Alligator mississippiensis: one gene and its partner. The protein of the gene in region 2 interacts with the protein of the main gene of each other region in a pairwise test. Links are inferred from orthologs where the notes say so. Each region holds a gene or a part of one and is shown on either strand. Other genes may lie near its edges.

What was found. The genes of interacting proteins can lie anywhere in the genome.
Region 1: the proteins of CHAF1A (region 2) and MBD1 interact in binary tests that used the Homo sapiens proteins (3 or more experiments, as listed by UniProt). The link is inferred for Alligator mississippiensis from reciprocal best matches to the Homo sapiens genes CHAF1A and MBD1.

The regions. Positions count from the first base shown.
Region 1 is NC_081831.1:27,516,286-27,523,275, forward strand, and holds the start of MBD1 (methyl-CpG-binding domain protein 1), read right to left. Parts: upstream 3,070-6,990; 5' UTR 2,700-3,069; coding exon 2,652-2,699; intron 1-2,651. Other genes in the region: CXXC1 (CXXC-type zinc finger protein 1), read right to left, coding at 4,653-4,799, 5,487-5,639, 6,088-6,184, 6,458-6,507. UniProt on the Homo sapiens protein: Transcriptional repressor that binds CpG islands in promoters where the DNA is methylated at position 5 of cytosine within CpG dinucleotides. Binding is abolished by the presence of 7-mG that is produced by DNA damage by methylmethanesulfonate (MMS).
Region 2 is NC_081839.1:5,305,077-5,312,629, forward strand, and holds the start of CHAF1A (chromatin assembly factor 1 subunit A), read right to left. Parts: upstream 3,068-7,553; 5' UTR 2,945-3,067; coding exon 2,938-2,944; intron 1,863-2,937; coding exon 1,812-1,862; intron 1,554-1,811; coding exon 721-1,553; intron 1-720. UniProt on the Homo sapiens protein: Acts as a component of the histone chaperone complex chromatin assembly factor 1 (CAF-1), which assembles histone octamers onto DNA during replication and repair.

The DNA.
Region 1 (6,990 bases), on a different chromosome or scaffold from region 2:
GCTGGGCCCCTCCCAGCAGGGGGCTAAAGCTCCCCCTCCAAGCAGCCCAAAGCATAGCCAGACCCTGCCCCTCCAACCCACCCACACCCAGGCAAAACCAGGACTCCAAGGCTCAAGCCCCACCCCTTCAGCAGGGAAGGGAGATAAACAAGGCGGGTAGGGTCACGGGGAAGGATCTGTGGGGGGGGGGGAAATCTGCAGCACTCCCCCATGGAGCCACCCACATACATACCCCCATGCCAGCCCACAGCAGTGCCCCCAGGCCCCAGCCCTTATTCACTGGACAGAAGACAGCCCTAGACAGACTCAGTGGCAGGCACTTCCTGGCCCAGATCAGGGCTGAGCCCAACCCCCCACCACCACCACCACCACCACCACCACCACCACCACGGTGTCCTGCCCCCGAACTCTGCCCTGCCCCCAGGCCCCGAACTGCCACCCCCCTCCCATCCACACACATACCCCACCTAGCACCCCTGGCCCTTGGGCAGACCCCCGCAGCTGTCTGGCCTCAATTCTCCCTCCTCTGTACCTCCCAAACCTTGGTCCCACACCCCACCTTTGTTCCCTCCTTTCTCCCAGGGGTACCAAACACCCTCCAGGCTACCCACTCCCTTCCCTCTTCACCCCAAGGGCTACATGTCCTTGCTCCCACAACCCTCCTGGGATGCCAAACACACACCCATCCCCACCAGGCAACTGCCAGAAACCTACTGCATCTCAGCCTCCGTCCACCCTGACAAGTCTGCACCCCACCCCCCACAACTCCCCACCTCTCACAGCCCCAATTGCCCCCTTCCCCCAGCACAATAGCTCTCCCTACAATTCCCCATGTACCCCCTCCATCCCCCCAAAGGCTCTCCCATAACTACCCCCAGTCCTGTTCCTCACAGCACCTGCCACCACCCCTCCCCCTCACACCCCCCAGCCCTCCCAAACATGCACCCCCTCCCCTAAAAGCCCTCCCCCCCAACCTGCTCCTCACAGCCCCCACCCCCCACACACACACACACACACACACAATTGTGCTTCACATCACATCCCTCCTTCAGGTCCCTCCTCTCCTTCAGGGCTGCCAAATATGAAGCCCCTCCCCCAAGTCCCTCAACCCCTTCACCCTCGGCTGCCCCCCACATCAGACCCCCCACCCCAAGGGCTGTCAAACACATGCTCCTCCTCCAACAGTCCCCCAAACAACTGCCCGTCCTCACAAGGGCTGCTGAACCTGTCCTCCTGCCCCACAGAGCCCTTCCCCGTCAGCCCCAGCCCTCCTCTCCACAGCCCCCCCCTCAGCCTTTCCTGCCCCAAATAACTGCCCTCCAACAGCTCCTCAAGCGACTGTTCCTGCTCTTCCCTCACACACACACACAAAGAGTACCCCCCACAAACCCCCCAGTAAAACTGCACCACCACACCTCTCCCACCAGGGCAGCTAAACCCCCACACACACACCCCCCTCAGCTCCCCAGGGCTGTCAAACCTGCCCTCTCCCCTGGCACTGCCCCCCATTCCTCTCAGCCTCCTTACAACTGCCCCCAAACCTCTCCCCCACACATACACACACACACACAACTGCCCCTTCCCCCTCCGCTGCCCCCCCTCTGCTGCCAAACACACCCCTCCCCTCCAACCAGCCCCCATCTACTTCTCAAGGCCCCCCCCCTTTCCCAGGTTGCCAAACATGCTCCCGCTACCCAAAACAGCCACCCCCACAGCTGCTCCTTACAGCTCCCCTCCCTACACACCTGTCCCCAACCCTCCCCCACACACACACCTGCAGCCCCTCAACCCCCCCCCAGGGCTGCTGAACCTGCCCCCCCCCCAACAACCCTCCAACTACTCCTAACTGCCCCCACCCCTCCCCCCTCATACACCAAGCCCCCAAGGACCAGGAGTGCTAGGAGGTGTGTGTAGGGGGGCAGGTCAGGGCCTGGGGGAGGGGAAGAGTTTAGACACCCTCACACACAGAACTGCCTCTGCTCACTCACAACTTCCCCCAGGCTGCCAGATGTTCACTGCCCCCCCCTCCCCAAGCTTCTCCTTACAGCACCCCCACACAGCAGTCCTGTTTCCCCTCACACCCCCCACATCTGCTGAACCTGCCCCCCTCCCAACAGCCCCTACCTCACTCCTCCCTCAGACAGCTGCCCCCATCATGTCTCCTCCAGAACTGCCAAACACACCCCCAGAGCTGCTCCCCCAGCCCACCAGGGCTGCCAAACATGCGCACCTCCCCCCAAACAGGCCCCCAGCACTGCTCACCAGCCCCCCACTGCCTGCACAGCCCCTAACCTGTCCTCCTTCACAATAACCCTCTATGTACACCTCACAGGTACCCACAACACCTCTTCCCCTGCCCACCCACAGCCCCCAGGGTAGCCAAGCAATTCTTGCCTCCCCCAGTTGCCCATCACACCCCACTCCACAAACAGCGACCCAAGGGCTTCCCCTCCCAGCGCCCCCTCGACATCCGCCTCCTCCATCCCCCTCACAGCCCCCCCCCCCGCTCAATAAGCCTCTATCGACTCTCCACAGGCCCCCACGCACCACCCCGCCCCCCACCTCCTCACGGTTCACAGTTCCCCGCGGCCGCCAGGCGCACCCCAACCGTCCGCCACAACTGCGCCTCCATTGCCCTCACACCCGCTCACCGCTCTGGGGGCCGTCGGCCCGAGCGGCCCCCGCCGCCTCCGCGCCATGGCCGTGCCCACTGTGGTTGAGCCGGGCAGTTAACGGCCGCCGCGCGCGAGCGTTCCCCGGGGAGGGGAGGGGCGGGGCGGGGGGAAGGGAGGGTGCAGAGGCGGCTGCGGAGGCTCGCGCCGGAAGCGGAAGCGGCGCCCGCGCAAGACCGAGGAAGGGGAGCAAGTGGGAAGAGGCGGGTGCGGCCACGTGACCCGCGGAGGAGGAGCCGAGCAAGTGACGTAACGAGAGGCTCAGCGTGAACACCTGACCCGGGGATATGGGGCACGTGACCCTTGGGAGAGGTGGGAATGCACACGGGCCCCGACGGGAAAGGGGCAGGGCTTTCCACCCAGGCCACGCCCACAGCAAAGAGGCGGGCTAGTGGGCGGTAGCAGTGGGCAGGCACCACAGTGCCTTTATGGGAGCATGGGGAGGGCAACCTCCCTTTCCATGTCCCCCTGCCCCCGCCCTCACCAGTGTCCCCTACTCCCCAGTATAATCCCCATACATTCCAGTGCTCCCCTACACACACCCCTCTCCCCAGGGGGTCACTACCCCCAGACCCCAACACACAGACCCAAGGCAGCTCGTTAACTGGCCAACTTTATTAACTAGGGTCACCCCCTGCCTCTCCCCCCCCCCCAATGCCAGGAGGAGGACAGGAGGGCACTTAGAAACAGCACGGACCCAGAGATCCACTCCCCCCAAAGTGCAGGTGATGGGGGCATATACCTGCCCCTGTCCCCTGGGCTAGGAATCAGCCCCCTCATAACAGGGGGGAACAGGGGCCCAGCTCAGGCTCTTCCTATGGCAGAGACAAGGATAGGGCTGCAGTAGTCATTCATGCCTCTCCCCAGTTAGGCCAGGGGTAGGGATGGGGGAAATACCTTGCTCCCCCCTCAGACCCCACCACCACTTCCTTTTTTTTATTATTCAAAATTTGTAAGAAAGAGGAAGAGAAAAAAAAGTATAAAGAAAAACTGAGTTAAAAAAATAAAGGATCAGAGCTGTTCGAGCACCCGGCATCACCTCACAGGGACCCTGAGGGGAGAAAGAAAGAGGGGTGTCAGAGGGGGCTTGGGACTGGAATACAGCCAGCTCTGGGGTGGAAGAGCTAGGAAACAGCCAAGTATAATACTGCATGGGGAGAACCGAGATGCAGGCAGCTCTGGAGTGCAGATGGGAATGGATGGGTTTAATGCCCCAGATGGAGGGCTGAGACACCACTGGCTCTGGGGTAAAACAGCTGGGGACTGGCAGAGCATAACACTGCATGGAGATGGACAGGATGCAGTGAAGCTCTAGGGTGCAGCATCTGAGGAATGCCTAGACATAATGCTGCATAGCAAGGGCCTAGATGCAGCTAGCCCCGGGGTGCAGCAATTTGCAAACGGCTCAGTACAACACTACATAGCAAGAACTGAGATGCGGCCAGCTTTGGGGTGGAGCAGCTTGGGAACAGTGGAGTATAACACTGTATAGCAAAGCTTGAGACGTGGCTGACTCTGAGGTTAAGCAGCCAAGTGTAACAACACGTGTGGGAAGGAAAGATGCAACCAGCTCTGGGGTAGGACAGCTGAGCGTAACACCAAAAGGGAAAGGTAAGTCACAGCTGGCTCTGGCATAAAACAGCCAAGAATGGCCAGGTAGAATGCTGCATAACAAGGGCCAAGATGTAGCCAAGCTCTGGGGAGGAACTGCTGGGAAATGGATGAATATAATACTGCATAGCAAGAGCCGAGATGCTGCCAGCTCTGGGGTGGAATGGCTAATTATAACACTGCATACAAAGGCCCCAGATCTGGGTTGGCAGTGGTGCATGGGGGGGGGGGCAGGGGCCTGTGGGGAGTTGGCAGAGGCTTATTGGTGGAGGGTGGGAGTGGGCAGCCCTGGGTAGCTATGAGGGGAATAGAGAAGGCAAGTTTTCAGTGCCCCCCCTCCTGTGCCCAGCCCCCGCCCCAAGCTCACAGTCAGCGGCGGGCAGCACTGCGCAGGTCAGTGGTGAGCGGGTCATGCTGGATGGTCTGGTGCAGCATGAGTGCCAGCAGCCCTGCCCGGTTCGTCATGGCTGCCCGCACATTGCGCTCCTGCTCAAACAGCTCGTCCAACTTGTACCACTGTGAGGGGAGGAGGGAGGGTGAATGCCCATGATCCTGCTCTCCTGCCCCATGGGCTGTACCAAGTGTGTATAGTCTAGCCCCTACTGTGGGATGTACCACCTAGTCGACATCCAGGCCCTGCCCCCCCAGCCAAGACAAAGTGGCTACACCAGACCTGACCCTCTGCGGGCTGTACCACATGCATGCCTCATATGGGCCATACCACATGGCCCTGGCCATACCAAGCAACCATAATCTGGGCCACACCCTCTGTTGGGCCCATAAACCAAAGCCCCATCCCCCCAGGCAGGCTGTACCCTGAGCACCCCCACCATGGGCAGTACCATATGGCTGTACCACATGACCATCCTCAGCCCCTGCCCTTAGGTGTGAACCATACCCCAAAGCTGTGCCCTTGGCCCCACCCTCCATGTAGGCCATACCATACAGACATCCCCACACCAGCCCTGCTAACCCTGTGGGCTGCACCACAAAGCCATATCCCAGGCCCACCCCATGGACTGTATCATAGATCTATCCCCCAGACCTCCCCGACCCCATGTGGGCTCTACCAAGTAGCCAATCCAAGGCCCCACCCCTCCATTTGGGCTATACCACCTGAATCTCAGGCCAGGCCCCGCAAGTGGTCCATACCACACAGTCACTCCCAAAGCCCTGCCCCTCCCCCACTCCAGTGGGCCGTACCACACGGACACGCTCCAGGTCAACTTCTGCGCGCCGCAGCTTCTCCCAGCAGTAGTGCCGGTTGCACTTGCGCTTGGGCACACGGCAGAAATCGCCTGTCAGCTCGAAGACGTCCCGCACCAGTGGGCACCCGCACACCTCGTCCGCGGGCACCTGGGGGGAGCAGGAAGGGGGACAAAGGAGAGGGTCAGGGAACTGCTGGCCCCACCTACCACCTCCAGGCCCCACCAATGATCCCCATCCCTCCCTCCTTCCCAGCCCACCTCAGGCCCTGCCTACAGGTTTGCAACAGCCCCACTCCTCTATACCCAATCTATTAAGCCCCACCCACACCCTTGGCCCCACCCACAACCCCTCCAGTGTCACCCCCTCCCCCCCAACCACAACTATAGTCTCTACTGCTCACCTTTCAACCAGTGCTGCACCCCACACAGGCCTCTACTGCCCCCAGCCCCATGGTGGCCACCTCACTCCTGACCCCCCCTCCAAGGCTCTGCAGTGGCCCTCACTACCAACCCACAGCACCCCCCACACACACACACTCACCACCCCCCCCCCCATGGTGCCCCTCACTTTCAACCTTCAGCTCCCCATCCTCTACCTTGGGGTCACGGGAGTGCTCGGGACACAACACCTGCAGCCGCTTGCAGTACGTCTTGCTTTGGGGGTTGTAGACGTCACAGAACAGGCGGGTGGCCCTAGGGACATGGAGAGAGGGGACAGATGGATGAGGGGTTCCATGGGACCAGCAAGCTCCCAGCTCATACCTCCCAGCCCCTGTTCCCCTCCCAGAGAACCCCCAGGCATCTGAAAGGAAATGAGAAGCAGTAGAGAGGGGAACACTGTAATGTAGGTAGGAACCAAAGTTTGGGCTTGGTGGGATGGGGGCAGTTGGGGAAGACAAACAACCAGAATTCACATAGCCCTTGGGAAAAGAATATGCTGGACACACCCCAGTGGTCCCAACTCACCCCTCGATGCGGGTGGGGTACATGGATCCAAAGGACGTCTGGCTCTCATACTGCAGAGAAGGGTGAGCAAAGAGTGGGGGTTACAGTGGAAGGGACACCTTACAGGGGCCTTGCCAAGTGCCAAGATGCAACCAGCTCTGGGGTGTAGGACAGCTAGGAAACAGCTGAGCATAACACCGTGTAGGGAGGGCTAAGATGCAACTGACTCTGGGGTGGAATGGCTGAGGATAGGCCGAATGCAGCACTACACAGGGATGGCTAAAATTTGGCCATCTCTGGGACTGGATGGCTGGGGAATAGCTGAATATAACAATGCACTGGGAAGGCCAAGTGCCCAGCTCTGGGCTGGAACACTTGCGTATAACACTGCATGGGAAGGGCTGAGATGTGCCCAGCTCTGGGCTGGGATGGCTAGGGAACAGCAGAGTTTAACACTGAACTGGCAAGGCTGAGATGCAGCCAGCTCTGGGATGGAACATCCAGAGAACAGCTAAGAATAATAATACTGTATACAGAGGGCTGAGATGCAGCCA
Region 2 (7,553 bases):
CAGCATAAGGGATTTTACAGCTACCTGGGTCATATATCAAAATAACACTTACAATTAGTGCGTGGTTGTCTATCCCTCAGACAGAATGCAGGGGAAAGATGCACCTTATAACACTAACATAAATCAGAGATACATAAGTTTCTGTAAGCCTGAGCTCACTTCGTCAGATTCTCTGAGGCTCAAGCAGTTTGCATATAGAAATTACTTTTGAACATATTTGTATGTACCTGTAGACAATAACATCCAATGAGTTCCCATTTTTAAGCTGAAAGTCTTACTGTTGTGAGTAAACTTGGAAATAATTCATACAATCTCCATACAGGAACATGAGATTCTACAGCATCACATAACACCTTACCACACTGTTCTCCCACACTCTATGTCCTAACGTAGTAAGTCATAAGGCAGGTATCTTATGATAGAGCTAATCTATGACAACAGGATGTACTGCTGGAAATATATTTATATTGTGCATATTAATGAGTACTTTTAAAAACAGAAAAAAGGCCAACTCTTCAGCTAAAAATTGCACTTAAAAAAAAAGAAGTCAAGGAGGCAATCATATCTTGGCTGCAAATTTCACCCATAAAAAGATTAATCGGTTTTATATCATTTCCTTTGCCAATATTTTTTAGAAACAAAGGTATTGAAAAAATTATTAGTTTTAGTTGCAGATGAGAGGTCTTGCTGGCTACACGCAAATAAAACAAAGAGACCAACCTTCCGAACAGGCGTTGAAGCTAAGGGACTAGTATCGCTCTTGTTCTCTAGGGCAGGATGAACCTCAGGTGAGCTGATAGAAGAGGGGGAGCTTAGTGAGGAAAGGGTAAGTACAGAGTTTCTTTCAGGAGAAGAAGATTCCATTGTTTCACTTTCTGACATCATACTTCCTTCTAAAGATGCAACTTGGGGTGACCTTGCAGTCATGATATCCTCTAGGACTACAACAGGCATCTTTCTCCCCAGTATGATCCCCTTGAGTTCACTCTCATTGACCCTCTTATTTTCTAAATCATTACACTGTGTATTTGATAATTCAGAACAAGATTTGGTTGCATCCGTCAAGTCTTCGTCCTTATTTGCTGTAGCTTCACATAGCGAGTTGGTGTCCATTGAAGCATCCACTCGGGTATTCTGAAGGGGTTTTAATGGACTTAACTGGTCTGTATCTTTTTCTAAGATCCCATTAGCTGTTTTTATAGATGAAGATGCTGCTAAATTTAATTTACCGTGGTCAATTTCATCACTTAGTCTGTGGTCAGTGTCCTCTGTCAAGTCAATTACAAGTACAGTTTCACTTGTGTTACTCTTTGTGCTTTTCTGTATAAAGTTATCTAATGGACCCTTTCCATTAACCAGTTTTGGAGCAAAATGCATTTCAGGATCCAACTGGCAGTCATTCTCCACATTGTCCATGGAAGTGTGGGACGTATCTAGAGAAGAGTCGTTACTTTGTCCAAAAACGTTTTGCGAGCTTTTAGTTTTCTTGACTTCCAAGTCGGCATCATACTTCTCCTTTGGTACTGGATTCAAACGCTTGAAAGGCAACCGAGCTGAAACAGTAAGATTTCACTATTTAAGTAAAGCCGTACAAAAATCAGCAGAGGGAAATTAGCCATTAAGTTACTTAATGAGTTCTTCAAAAAGCAAGAAAACCTAGTGCAGACTAGCAAAGAATATGTTATGCACCCAAGCATGATACATTTAGCAAACCTTACTACATCTGAGGCATTAAAAAAGCAAGTTGTTGGGTGACAGGTGGGAGGGGAGAGGGGAAAAAAAAAAAAATCACCCTTCTTTCATAAGCTTACCTTGCACTAGTTTTCTTGTGGGAACAACTGGCTTGTCTCTGCATTCCATAGCTGCAAGACAAAAGAGCAGATAAACAGCTGCCCGGTTATGTTTAACTCTATTTTCAACAGGCGTTCAGGACATAATTAATAAACTGATATTTAGTGCTGTCATCGCTGGGTACATTATGCAAAATGAGCATTTCCTACTAAACAGAGAAACAAACAAACAAACAAAAAAAGGATTTCCTTAGCCTAATCGCACTTTTATTAACGTAGAGACATAGTTAGCCGCGTTGGTCTGTAGTCAGACAGACGGCAGGGGAGAACTGCACCTTTCACGCTAACCAGGACAGAGATGCACGTAGCACATGCTTTCCTGGACTAAAGCATCCGACGAAGCGAGCTTCAGCAAACGAAAGCTTGTGCTAGACGCATCCATCCGTCCATCCATCCGCTCCGCTGAGTCGATACGGCGCAAGTCTTCTCTGCTCGCTGCTCTCGGCAATGGAGAGCGGGGAGGGACAACCAGCAGCACACGTGTGACAAGCGCCCCGGACCGGGGCGGCGACAGGCAGCCCAGGAGCAGCGAGAGGAGCCCCAGATCAGGCAGAGGAAGAACAGGAGCAGAGCAGCAGATCAACCAGGGGAGCCCGGGGCACAGCGCAGAGCAGATCAGGTAAGGAAGTAAAGGACACGGAAGAGGCGGCAGCAGCACGGCGGAGCAGAAAGCAGAGCAGCAGATCAGGTGGGGAAGCACAGGGCAGGGAGCAGAGCAGCAAATCAGGCAGGGGAGATGGGGGGGACACAGAGCAGATGAGATCATGGGGCAGGGAGCAGAAAGCTGAGCAGCAGAGCAGGCAGGGGAGCACAGGCCAGGGGGCAGAGCACGCAAGGGAGCAGAAAGCAGAGCAGCAGATCAGACAGGGGAGTAAGGGACGAGGAGCAAGCAGCAGCGCAATAGATCAGGCAGGGGAGCACGGGGCAGGGAGCAGAAAGCAGAGCGGGAGATGAGGACCGGGGCAGGGAGCAGGGAGGCAGCGGAGCGGCAAATCGGGCGCGGAGGAGGCTCCATCCCCCCTCCCCACCGGCTCCTTTACGCGCCGAGCGCGGAGGCCCCGTCCCAGCGCGGCGCCCCGGGCCGTACCTGCCATGCGGCGGAGCGGCCCCGCTCCCTCAGGCCCGACCCCCCCGCGGCCGCAGCGACCGGGGCGCGCCCGCCTCTCCCGCTCGTATTTGGCGGGAGCCTCGGCGGCCCCAGGCTCCACGCCGCCGATTGGCCCGGAGCCCCCACGTGACCCGGGATCCCGCGAAGCCTCGCGAGAGCAAAACAAACCCCACCCGCTCCTTTCAGCCCTACTTCCCGCCCCCACCCAGATCTCCCCGGCGTTCCTATTGGCTGGAGGCGAAGGCTGCTTCCTATTGGTGCAAGGGGCTGCCACCAGGACACGCGGCCGCTGTGATTGACTGTGGGGCAGCTGGAGGTGGGCTCGGGGCTCTCCTCGCTTGTGCAGTACCAGTGCGCGCAGGCGCCCTGGGATAACGGTCTGCCCTGCCCGAGGGAGGGGGTTTGCGCCCCACAGCTTGTAAAGGGTATTTTTTCCAATAATTTTTTGGAAATTTTTCATATTCCAGGTCAAATCAGCTCTAAATCCTCGCTGCACGGGGGTAGACACCCGGGCTTCTCCGCCCACGGGACCGCTGAAGGCACTGCATCCCCCGAGGGAGGGGGGCGAGGAACGCCGGGCGGAAGGGGCGGGGCCAACCCCGGAAGCCCAACCTCCTCGCCGGCTCCCGCTCATGGAGCCGGCAGCGCGAAATGGCGGCCAATGAAGGAGCGGCGCGCGGCCCTGGCCCCGGCCCCTCGGCTACGTCACCAGGCCCCGACGGGAGGGGGAAGGAGCGGCGCGGCCGCAGGGGCTCCTGGGAGATGTAGTCCCCGGGCGGCCCCGGCCTGAGCGGAACGGGGTCATACGGGAGCGCAGTGCTTTGCAACGGATAAACTGCTGTGTTGTTTGCCTACAGTCAGAAGCGGGGGTTTGAGTCCAGCAAGGAGACCTCCAGTCTAATGAGGGGTGCCTTGTGTCTAACAAGGGTGATTTGAGTCTAAAGAGGGGGCCTTGAGTCTAATGAGTAGCCTTTGATCTAATGATGGGTGTCTTGAGTCTAAAGAGGCAGCCTTTGAGTCTAACAAGGGTACCTTGAGTCTAATGGGGGGATTTGTGAGTCTAACAAGGGTGCATTTGTGTCTAATGAGGAGTGCCTTGAGTCTAATGAGTAGCTTTTGGTCTAATGAGGGGTGACTTGAGTCTAATAAGAGTGCCTTGAGTCTAATGTGGGGCATTTTGAGTCTAACAAGGGTGCCTTGAGTCTAACGAGGGGATATTTTAGTCTAACAAGGGGTGTCTTGAAACTAATGAGGGGGCCTTTGGATCTAATGAAGGAGCCTTTGAGTCCAATGAGGGGGCCTTGAGTCTAAAGAGGTGGCCTTGGAGTCTGAGGGATGCCTCGAGTCTAAGAAGCGGGGATTTGAGTCTAAGGAGGGGTGACTTGAGTCAAATGAGGGGGTATTTGAGTCAAATGGGGGGGCCTTTGAGACTAACAAGGGTCCTTTGGGTCTAATGAGGGGTGCCTTGACTCGAAAGAGGCAGCCTTTGAGTCTAAGGAGGGGTTCCTTGAGTCTAAAGAGGAGGCCTTCGAGTCTGAGGGATGCCTCGAGTCTAAGAAGGGGGAGTCTGAGTCTAAGGAGCAGTGACTTGAGTATAACAGTGGGTATTTGAGTCTAAGGAGGAGTGCCTTGGGTCTAAAAATGTTGAGAACCACTGCTGTAGCAGGTGCCACACATGATTATCCTACCAGGGCGGGGGTCTCTGCTCTCCCCCTCGTGGACTCGCGCACATGCTGCCTTCTGCTTCACGGCTGACATACACAAAGCTGGTGAGGGCTGGGAGGAGCTGAGGGTGCAGCTGCTTGTCGCACGGCTTCAGGAGCCGGTGTTGGTTCTTCTGTTGTGCTCATCACGGTCACATCTGAGTGCCCTCAGCAATACATCTGACCTCTCTCATGCGCTGCGTGTTCTCTCATTTCCCCCCCACGGAAGAAGTGTGTGCATTGGTGCATCTTATTTTGGCTGACTCTTAAGGACTCTGGTTTGGTTTTTGAGGGTCTTTTCCTACCTTCTTAAAAAATAAATAAATCAACATTGTTGCTCTGGGTTGATGTCAGAGAAGTCGAGGTCAAAAGATGAGCCTTGCACTTCGAGAAAAAGGAAGTGCAGGTCTTTGTTTCTGGGACTCTTCATTCCACAGTCTCGAAATAGGTTCAGTGTCCTGCACAAATGAGCTCTATCTTTCTTGCAAAGAGATCTTCCTTTGCCAGAGAAATGTAGCTCTCAGCTGTGTTGGTTTTTTTTTTTTCCCTCGGAGCACTGTGTGGTCTTTTAAACATCCTGAGGCCAGACCACAGGGTGCTTTGAAGATAAGGACAAGCCTTGAACTTGATTCAAAATTCTGAAGGAATTGACTGCGCAGAACGGAAGACACCCTGGATGTACTCGTAGTGGCCTGTGGTGCTGCAGAAGTGTGTTGCAGAATTTTCTATTCATTGGAGATTCCTAGCTACTGAAGTCTTTATGCCCAGGTATACTGCATCACTGTGGTCCACTGGAGGGGTGCTGACATCTGGTATAACTGAGGCCAGCTCATAATCTGCTAGGATGGGATGGAGTTGTCCAGAAACATTCACAGAGGTTTTTGAGAGCATAGCAATATCCAGTTGCTTTAATTTGGGTGTGTGTCTTCAACTAAATGAGACTACAGCACAACCATAAATGCTTCAACTTGCTTTCATCTGTCCACCAGTGTTACCTGTTGGACCTGGATTCAGTGGCACACTGCTCTTTACTCATGATCTGGTTTCAGTCAAGCACTTGGCCCTTGGCTATGGTGGCAATGATGTGCTCATATGTGATGAAGGTCAGGGAGAGCTACGTATCACCTGCATATTGCTGGAAGATGAGCCTGTATCGTCAGACCGGTTCACCTCATTGCTGCACGTGGCTGTTGAAAAGGACCAGAGTGAGAATTGAATCTTGTGTGACTCCAAAGTTAAGGTACCATTTCCTATCACTGTTCATTTAGTGTGCCCTTCCAAATGGCACAGAGGGGATGAGAAAGATGAGAATGGATGTCTGCCCTCTGTCCATTCACAGGAGATGAGCATCCATCACTGCCACTAAACTATTTTCAGTTTAAAATGATCAATGTCGGGTTTACAACAAACAAAAGGGAATGCTGATTTACACAGCACATAAATAACTTGTGGAACTCTTTGCCACAGGACCGTGTGAAGGCTAATAGTATAATCAAGGTCAGTTTTTATGGAGGATAGGTCCATGGAGCTATTAAATACAACAACCAGGGGTGTGAACTCAGGCTTAGGATGCATGACTTTGAGCATCTGGGAGAGTATGATTCTCCACACAACCCATTTCTTATACTCTCCCTCTGAAGCTCCTTGCTACTGCTGGAGACAGCACTGAGCAAGTTGGGTCTCATCCTGGCTGGCAGTTCTTGTATTCAGTTGTGTCCTAGCCTGAGTCTGGATAGTGGTTCCATTTAGATGAGCTTGCAGGGAGCCTTTGTCTCTACAATTTAGGAATGGGAGGTGCAACATTGAGTGGCAGCTAGTTAAATGAATACATCTAGCTGTGGGGAGGAGGAAGGAGGCTCTTCCAATGTCAGTTGGACTGTGGGTGCATGAAACAGGAATCTCTGAATGGTGTGTTGGCTCTATGGGGCACCCACTGTCCCTGATTCTTTCACAGGGCAGAATGGGCAGGGGTCAGAATGGGCCCAACTCCTTTAAAGGTGTCCAGAACTTTTTGGTGAGTGAATGTAGTGAACTCCAGGAGTGCAACTGGACTCTGAGCTGGTGGTAGAGATACAGAGCCATGCTGTTTGGCTTCTTAAAAGTATACGGTCTTTTCAGTGAAGTAGAACCATAAGCCTTTGCACCACATGGTGCTTAGTTCTGAATCAGGTTGCAAACAGTCAGGACAGATTAAATAGTTCACCCCCTAGCTTGCTTTCTTGTAGTAGAATCTGGCAGCTATGATGGAGGCTGATAGGAAAGTTCTCATGTGCTGTAAAACAGCCTTAGCAAAAGCCTTGAGGAAGTTTTTTCATTTTATCTTGTCTCTGAATTTGAGTTTCTGCCATTCTCTCTTTATCTGGCAGCGAATATCAGAAAGCTAAGGAAACTGAATGAGCACAAGCGGGAAGGGGCCTTTTTGAGGTCAGTATCTCAGTGGTCAAGGTTAGTGTATGATGATAATTCACTGAGTCCTCAATTCCTTAAATTTACATCATTGTAATAACAGAAATGCATGGAAAAAGTAACCTCCAAACACACAAAAAGGGGCTGTAAGACTCTTCTTCCAGGATCTGTCACAGGGGCATATTGCCGGGGGCAAAGGAGTTAAAATTTGGGGTGAAAGAGTACTTGTGTTTGTAACAGATAGTTTTGTGGCAGTGTTTCTATGCTGGGGTTGGACTTAGATGAGCCTTGAGGTCCTTGTCAGTTCTGTGATTCTAAGAGTCTATATTTTTTCAAGGTTGCAACATAGTCACACCAGAGAGAAAACTACATACAAAATGTTGCCATCACTTATCACTAGCTTCTTACTCAGCTGTAATTCAGGCATATTTCTGGCAACAGAGAACTTTTTTCTTCCAGTAACTTAGAATGTATTGTGAAACATGA